2 linked regions of the Arabidopsis thaliana genome follow. The protein of the gene in region 1 purifies or fractionates together with the protein of each later gene. This does not show direct contact. Each region holds a gene or a part of one and is shown on either strand. Other genes may lie near its edges. The genes, in order: LSP1 and BTF3.

Region 1 (4,634 bases):
ACCTAATATCCTTTTAATATTTGCCTTCTTTTGAGGATGGACCTTGCTTCCGAACATAACTGAAGACTTGGAGAAGTTGATTAAAATTACCAGATTAAACAACGACTACATATCTACCAATGCAATAATAGAACCGTACGACTCCAACATAAGACAAAACACTAATATCCAGTTTGGAGAAAAAAATGATTAATTAAACCATATGAATCTGAAATTTGTTTTTCCAAAACTTGTTTAAGAACTTTTCATTGATGTAAATTGCAATCTCATAGTTTTGTTAACAACAAAATGAACTGTAAACCCAATTTCAGACTCGTGTTTGTTCAATCCTAAACATGTTGGTTTCTTTCCTGATTTGGCTATATCTTTTTATAATTAATAACAATGAGACTATGATAGTTTATTAATTAAAAAAATATACAATATATTAATCAGTTCGGGTAGCCGATTTGGAATTGAAGAAATGTATTTAGTATCGAGTATTAATTTATAAACATATACTAAAAATCTTAATCAAATTTTTTTCCTTAATCCAAAATCTCTAAGCTTTAAAAGTTCAGTAGCCAATTGACACATTGTTTGTATTTATAATTTCAATATGAGTCCATCCTAAACCTAAAATAGATTTAAGCAACTTGTAAGTGAATATTTAAATAATCAAAACGAATTGTTATAAGGTTTTTTGAACCATTTTAGAGGACCCAAAAACTGTGAATCGGAGATGGAAGATCCACAATTTGTAATCGACCATATCTCCTTGTTCAAGCAACTTTAAGATAAACTCAAAATGGTATAGACTCTTCCTGAAGAAGAAATCATAATCTCACGGCTATATAAAAAGAGGATAAAACTAATAAAAGACTAAACTACTGCTTAACTGCAACAGTATTAATTAAAAAGGTTCAAAATCACAGTACAAAAACAATTAATACAAAGGAAAATCGTGGAATCCTGCTCTAAATCAATTTTTTACCAGATTCTTGAAATTTACCTACAAAGAAATAAGATCTTGTAAGATTGTAAATTCATATAGTGATAATTACAAATGCGATAGACATGTACTAACACTATGTGATCCAACAAAATACAAAAGAGAAGCATTAGGGTGTTGCTAATAAGAGTATATTATCTCTGTATTTGTCTAACAAGTGGTGGTTTCGAAAGAGATTTATATAACTCAACTTAATTTATAACAAAAAATCATTTTAATGAAACAGAAAACTTTGTAGAGTTTACACCTCAAAGTGAATGTCCCTAAATGTCTCAGCTATTTGAGTAAACCGACCAAACAGTATCACAAAAAAAGCCATATTGCATCTTCCTCTGGCTTCACACTCGTTTCTTCAGACAGTGAACCGGCTTCTTCTGGAATCATCCTGCGTATAGACAAAGATATATTAAGCCACATGAGATCTAAAACATGTACAAAAAGATGATAGCTTCTTCTTTAGAGAAGTGTAATTACATGGTTATTGAAAGTTATCTTGTCGGTGACATCAAGTATCTCCTTCCACTTCTTCCCAATACCCATCTGAATTACAATAACAAACACCAAGTAATAAATTCATCAGATAGATTCATAAACCAATCTTAACATATTGCCAAGTTTTAAAACAGATGTCCATTGACAAAGATAGTTATGTTTATAATGCCAATGAACTATTATATTTACTATTATGTTTATAAGTCGCAACATATAACCTTAACATTAAAAACAACAATTTTACTATTGCAGAAGTATCTCAATCATCAGAAGCTGGTAAAACTCTCAAGGACAGGCAACAAAGCAAGTTAAGCATCAAAACCCACTAGCTATATAGTTCTCTGTGTAGCATTAAGAATTCTCGTAACGAGTGTTAGTATTTTCTAAAGTTTACCAAACTAAATTTGGATATCCCACCAACAATCATAATCATGAATAGCCAACACCAGCATCAATATAAACATAGTGAGAAGACAAACAAACATCATACCAGAACAGCTTCATTAGACTTCGTCCTAGTCCACAAGGAGAGCTTGTCTTGCTTCGACTGTGGACGGACACTAGCAACCACACCACAAATCTCATCTGCTTCATCAAATTGCTCTCCAATCAAAGCCATCAACTACATATCATAAGAAATAGAACCAGTCACCAAAACCACATATCATCTAACAAAACACAGAAGAGTAAAAGGTTAGGGTTAGGGTTAGAATGTAATACAGTTTCAAGCCAGCCTTTGTCTAAAGCTTCCTTCCTATTAGCAGTAACAACCCAAGTCCACTTTCCTCCATTAGCACACTCTGGATCTTCCCACTTTGGCTCAACACCAGCTTTGAACAAGTGAATTTCAGCATTCGCTGTCAATTTGCTAGTCTGAAATATAGTCTCGTGCAATCTAACAATAACCAAAAAATTAACATCCTTAGATTTTCGGATCCATACACATAGATCGAGATTCACAATAACCATAGCTTCTATACAAATCCCAGATTTAGAAGTTACAAAGCAAGGCATTGACAAATATTGAAATCAAAGGAGAAGAGAGAAAGACGAACCCCCAAAAATCTTCGACGGTGTCGAAAGTATAGGCTTTACGAAGAGAAGCTCCCCAGGCGGCGCCTTTCTTTGATTGGTTATCGAACCAGAAACTCCACTTTCTTTCGAGCTTGTGTGGTTGTTTCTCCGCCTCTGTCGCCGGTAATTCCGCCGCCGCCGGGAGAGGCTCGTTCACATCATCGGTCGCCATATTCTTCGCAGTTGAGTTTTCTTCTGAGACGGCTTTTGGTTACGAGAGAGGGACAGAGAGATTGTTTTTGAGATGTATTTTGGAATGGTTTAAGAAGTGAAAAGGGCTATTTCTGGACTCTATTGGGTCAATTTTGGGCCGGTCCATCAGAGCATTTAACTCTTCTTTTCTTCTTTTTTCTTTTTCTATTGTCTTTTGGTATTTAAAAAACAAGTAAAAATAAAAATCTCCAAAATTAATTGCAAGTGGAATCCCAATAGACAAGGGTTTAAAGTATTTTTTTTTACAACAAGGTGTTGTTAAAAAAAAAATAAAAAAAAATACACCAAGGTATGAGATCTAATTTCCAAATAGCGGAATTTCTTTCATATTGTCAATGCAAAATCTTAATTAGTAGTATCAAATTAGAAAATATTGTTTACATTAGAGGTTCTAGAGTAATAAAAGATATTTTATTATATAAAGCATGATTTTTAAATTTAGTAATTCATATGACTGTTACATGTGTTATTTTTGTAGATCTTAGATTTTGGTACATGTAATTTTATTATAAATTTTAAAATTTTTAATATAAAATAAGATAAATTAAAGAAACAAAATAGTTTTAAAAATGTAAATAAGATTTTTATATTATAGTTCCAAATATAAATTAAAAAAATAAAGTTATTATAATTCCTAATCTTTTTCCCCCAAAAACAAGAAAACTTACAAATCTCTGCTTGATAAACTCATATACTCTCACTCGCCGCCTAAACTTCGGCGACGTTTGTTTGATCGCCGTCGTTCTCTCTTAAGACGAGAAGAAGTGGCAAAAACTGTACATTCTGTATCAGTTACCGCATAAAATCCGGCTACTAATTATATAGAGGTGAGTATTTGAAATCTTTTTCCTTCTAAGATTATAATTAATTGTAAAATTCCTTTATGTATTATATTTAATATAATAAGATCGTTTCCTTAAATCCTTTTTAAAATTTTTAGGAAGACGGTAATCAATTTTCTTTTAGAATTAGTAATTTCAAATTAGAATTAGTAATTGATTTATAATTTCTTTCAGTAAGATACATATAATTATCTTCTTTACATTTTTATTTCTTTAAAATAATATGTAATCTTATATTTTCTATCTTTGTTTGATAAGATACATATAATTTTCTAATATTTATCTTCTTTCAATTTTTTAAAATTGTTTTATATAAGATATATTAATATTTTACTTTGGTTTTTATATTTATATTTTTACTCATTTAATAAAATTGATAATAAGATTACATGTGTCAAAATCTAAAATCGAAAACCATACTTTATATAATAAGATATAATAATAGACAATTCTCAAAAATACCACTAAGATAAGTTTTTTGTTCCAAAAGTAACACCATCAGTTTTTTTCGTAACAGTACCAGTAAAAGATACTTTTTTTGAAAATCCCACAAAACTAAAATTCACCTATAATTTAAACTTTGGGTCTGCATTTAATATTTTGTGTTTAAATTTTAGGGTTTAGGATTTAGTTTTGAAGGTTTAAAATCTTTAGAAATCATTTTTAGACTTTGTGGTATTTTTGTACTAAATCGTTTGTAGAGGCATTTTGGAAAGAAAAAAAAACTATTTATGGTTTTTTGGAACAAAAACTTAGCTTAATGCTATTTTAGTGTATTTCTCTATAATAATAAAACTATGTTACTTTTAGTGATAAACCTTCTATTTTTTTTTTTGAGACTCAATTCAAATCAGTTTGTTTAGCATGGTTGACAACAAAAAAGGGTGGAGTTAAAGCAATTTTTTATTTGCTAGTGCTTGTGTCAAGACCACCATCATTTTAACAAAAAAAAGAAGTAAAAACTTAATAGCTTTAATTTGCTCATAAGTAAAAGATAAGACATCTACATTCTTCTAATTTGA
Region 2 (4,242 bases), on another chromosome or scaffold:
ACTTTCAAAAACAATGCATTCCAACAAAACAAAGAAGAATCATAGCATAAGAGAAATGAATTCATTTTTTTACCTTGTTGAGATCAAGAGCCTTGAAAGTCTCTTCTGCTTTCTCAAGCCTTTCTTTCTCTTTAGTCAAACTATCACGAGCCAAGCTGTTGTAAATTCCAATGATCGGATTCTCACTGTTGCTTTCCTTGTTCAGCTCCTTGAGCTTACGATCAGTTCTCGTCTTCTCAAGCTTTATCGCAGCTTCGATAGATGGATTCCCCATAAACTTCTTGAACTCCTCGTCTGTTTTCCAATCCATCTCTTGCTGCTTCGACTTCTTTTCCTCCTCTTCTTCACTGCTCTCTGGAGAAGGCGGCGCATTATTGTTATCGTGGTCTTCTTTTTGCTCCTCCGCTAACGCCACCGGAGAAGGAGCTTCGTTCACAGGTTCACGAACGCGATCATCTTCCGCTGAACATCTCAAAGAATGTCTGCTTCTCGTTGTCTGATTCACAGAAGCTTTCCCAAAGTTCGAAAATTCTGCTCTGTCAAAGCGACGAAGATGCAAACTGTGACAGGATTTAAGAGTTAAGGAAGATGATGGAGTAGAAACAAAGAGAGAAGCCATGGTTTACGAAAACTCAGAAAGATTGAGATTTGACGACGAATAGACATGTCTCTGAGAGAGAATTTGTAGAGAAAGTGATGAAATGTCTGGAAAGTTTGAGAAGAAACTCATACAGTACAGGTGGAATGGTTTTTATGCAACAAGACAATGTGTCACATCAAAATCTTCTAATCCACATAGTGAAGAGGAAGAAGAAGACGAGGACCTGATTTGCTGTCAAAGAATCAATAAGACATCAAATAATTGGATAAAAACCTTAAGTCATTAGATGGAAAACAAGATTCTGGTCGGAAACTACAAAAAGGATCGAGCGAACAAACATATTATAAAGATATGTAAAAATCAAAGTGCGGTTTTTTTTTGGATGTGGTCTCGCTCTTTTCTCTCTAAGAAGAAGCAGCAGCAGCTGGTGCTTTCTCTTCAGCAGCAGTTTCGAATGTCTCTCCAACAAGCTCTGGGACATCGTCATCATCCTCTTCTTGTATGGTTGCTGAGGCGGCATTACCTTCACCAGAAGCCTGTTTCTGGAACTGTTCTGCTAGCTTCTTCAGGTTGTCCATGTTGTCTGGTCCTGAAAGAGATCAAAGTAACATAAAGTTAGAGACCTTAGGATCGATGAAGAACATTTAAGAGCTGTACAGTTACATGGTACACACCAAGTTGGCTGATGATCTGAGGAAGGATATCTTGCAATTCTGCAGGAAGCAACACGTTTACATTAATCAGAGAAGATGAAATGAAGAAGAAACAAGAAAGTAGAGATTAAGAGATATTATGAGATGCAATACTTTTGGTCTGAGGAGAACCGCTAACAACCCATGTGTTTGCAGCAATTGAAGCTTGAACTGTAGTAACATTCAAAGGAGGAACAATGATCAGTAACATGAAAAAAAGGTTCTGATGTATAGATAAAAAATGGTTAAAAATGACTTACCCTTAGGGTTGATGAACTGAATAACAACATCATCCTTAAAGATGTTAACTTCTTCAATAGCGGGAATGGAGTTAACTCCAATTCTCTTAAGAGTGCTTTGAAGCCTCTTGTCATCAGTTGTATTGGTCTTGTGCACAGCCTTCTTCTTTCTGCAAGTAAAAATCGAATGGTTTCATAACACAAATCATAGTAAATGCTAAGTATTGAACAATGAAATTGGTTGAATAAAACTCTATACCTTCTGACAGTACCCTTTCCGCCAGTGCGGACGGTATTAGCCATCTTCATCAACTTCTCCCTATTCATCTGTGTATAAACCATAATAAGAAGCAAAATCCATCAATCCCCAAATCACTTCCAAAAGAATCAATGAACACATTAACTGCTAATAATACATTCACAAAAACTTCTTATTATACAAGAAACTAGTGAGAAGAAAGTAAGCGCGAACAGATTTAAACTCAGATGCGTATGAAGACACGGTGATGTGACTAGTAGTTTTAACCTAAATTTAATCATTTTCAATCGATTAGGTATACCAAATCCCCCAATCAAACACACAGAGAAGTTGAAAACCCAGTAAATTCCCAAACACCGACAAAAACTAATCCTATCTACAGAAAGAAGCGAAATGAATCAAGAAAGAAAGATATCTGACATTTTGCAAAATCGGGGATTAGAGAAACCCTAGAACCGGAGAGATAAAACACTAATAGAAAGGAAAATTACAGTGATAATGAATTTACCTTGAGATTAGGGTTCTTCCTTGTTCGAAGAGTGTGAGGAGATAAGAAAATGAAACAAAAAGAAAAGAAACAGAGAGAGGAGAGACGCGGGCGGCGCAGGGTTTTGCCCTTTAACTATATGCTATTCGGAGCCAACCTCGTCTCTTAATCTAACGGTGGATATCAGATATTCCATAAAGAAATCTCCATCACTACCGTTGGATGCTCGATGATAATATTGGCCCATAAGGCCCAAAACTAAACTGGGCCAATAATTATTTACTGGGCTCTTTTGTGCCGTAATCAATCACCAGTATTAGCGCGTAGCAAACCATAATCTTTTGGTTACCAGAATTTCAAAATCCACAAATTTATCTAAATGAGTTTATCAATGAACAGACTTGTTTAGTTGACTAAAATTTAGAGAAGAAAGCTATTCGATTATTGATAATCTCAACAACAATGGTACATTTATTACAAAGTAAGTTTGCTTAACTTGAACTGTATGAAATCCATGAATACAAAAATTACATAAAAGAGATAGAGAGATCTGTATAGAACCAAAAATCAAACGCATAAACATTCACGTGTAAAGAGAATGAATATTGCTTTGTGTTTTGGACCTTGTTTTTTTTACTGCTTCTTCTGCACAACATTTTCCAAATACCATTCATAAGTTTGGGAGAGGCCATCTTTAAGCGAAATCTTCGGTGTCCATCCCAAAGACGCAAGCTTCGAGCTATCCATCAGTTTCCTTGGTGTCCCGTCTGGTTTTGTGGTATCCCAAACAAGCTTTCCTTTAAACCCAACAACTTCTTTCACCAACTCAGCCAATTCTTTGATCGTCACTTCAACACCACTTCCTACATTCACATGCTCAAATCCGCTGTACTGATCCATCAAGAAAACACAAGCATCAGCCAAATCATCGACATGTAAAAACTCCCTCAACGGGCTTCCACTTCCCCAAACCACAACTTCGTCAGCATTATTGGCTTTGGCTTCATGAAACCTCCTCATGAGAGCAGGCAGCACATGGGAATTCTCCGGGTGGAAATTATCATTCTGACCATACAGATTCGTGGGCATACCGGAGATAGCATCCCACTGATGCTGAAGCCGGTAAGCTTGACACATCTTAATACCCGCGATCTTGGCGATCGCATACCATTCGTTTGTCGGTTCGAGCGGACCGGTAAGAAGCGCAGATTCGGGAATCGGCTGAGGAGCAAATTTGGGGTAAATGCAAGATGAACCAAGGAAGAGGAGTTTCTTCACACCGTGTGTATAAGCAGAGTGGATCACATTGGTCTGGATTTGGAGATTGACCCCAATGAAATCAGCTGGGTATGTGTTGTTAGCATGAATCCCACCGACTTTAGCAGCAGCTAGGATGACATAAACTGGTTTCTCTGTAGCAAAGAAAGATTCAACATCTGATTGGCTAGTGAGATCAAGCTCTGAATGGGTTCGAAGGACCAAATTGGTGAAACCCTGATCCTGGAGCTTGCGGACAATGGCAGATCCAACCAATCCCCTATGTCCAGCGACAAAGATCTTGGCGGATTTCTCTAACATAAACGAACCTGATTTCATCTCTGCACAGAATTACGAGGGATCAAAGACCTAGGGTTCCAAAATTTCCACGAAAATCTAAATTCAATTCCACAAAACTCCGTATATAGACATGAAACATTATATTCAGACATAAAATAGAGAGATGGACGTACCGGATCCTGTGTTGTCCGCCATTGTTTAGTCAATTAGTTCTACAAGACGATGAGCGATTGAGAATGGGGATTTTGACTTATAGATATCAGTTTTCGAAGTCAACGACAGAAGCTTAGATTTGTAGGTAAAGGTTAAATTCCTTGGAGAATGTAATGTGGAGGAGATCTGAATATCCGCCGGCGATCTGAATCGGTGTCGGATATTTTGTTATTCAGTTTATGGATCCTGGCCCA

The links.
Region 2: the proteins of LSP1 (region 1) and BTF3 purify together in Arabidopsis thaliana (affinity purification with western blotting, with the first as the bait; one study listed by BioGRID). This does not show direct contact.

What each region holds. Positions count from the first base shown.
Region 1 is NC_003076.8:13,823,603-13,828,236, forward strand, and holds LSP1 (Eukaryotic initiation factor 4E protein), read right to left. Parts: upstream 2,802-4,634; 5' UTR 2,730-2,801; coding exon 2,539-2,729; intron 2,379-2,538; coding exon 2,204-2,378; intron 2,106-2,203; coding exon 1,974-2,105; coding exon of another isoform or gene 1,968-1,973; exon of another isoform or gene 1,532-1,967; coding exon 1,466-1,531; intron 1,377-1,465; coding exon 1,344-1,376; 3' UTR 1,239-1,343; exon of another isoform or gene 1,019-1,238; intron 992-1,018; 3' UTR 822-991; downstream 1-821. UniProt on the Arabidopsis thaliana protein: Recognizes and binds the 7-methylguanosine-containing mRNA cap during an early step in the initiation of protein synthesis and facilitates ribosome binding by inducing the unwinding of the mRNAs secondary structures.
Region 2 is NC_003070.9:6,151,567-6,155,808, forward strand, and holds BTF3 (basic transcription factor 3), read right to left. Parts: upstream 2,417-4,242; 5' UTR 2,300-2,416; intron 1,860-2,299; coding exon 1,792-1,859; intron 1,703-1,791; coding exon 1,554-1,702; intron 1,465-1,553; coding exon 1,408-1,464; intron 1,315-1,407; coding exon 1,276-1,314; intron 1,191-1,275; coding exon 1,006-1,190; 3' UTR 818-1,005; downstream 1-817. Other genes in the region: EGY3 (ethylene-dependent gravitropism-deficient and yellow-green-like 3), read right to left, coding at 74-619; GER2 (NAD(P)-binding Rossmann-fold superfamily protein), read right to left, coding at 2,912-3,876, 4,009-4,030.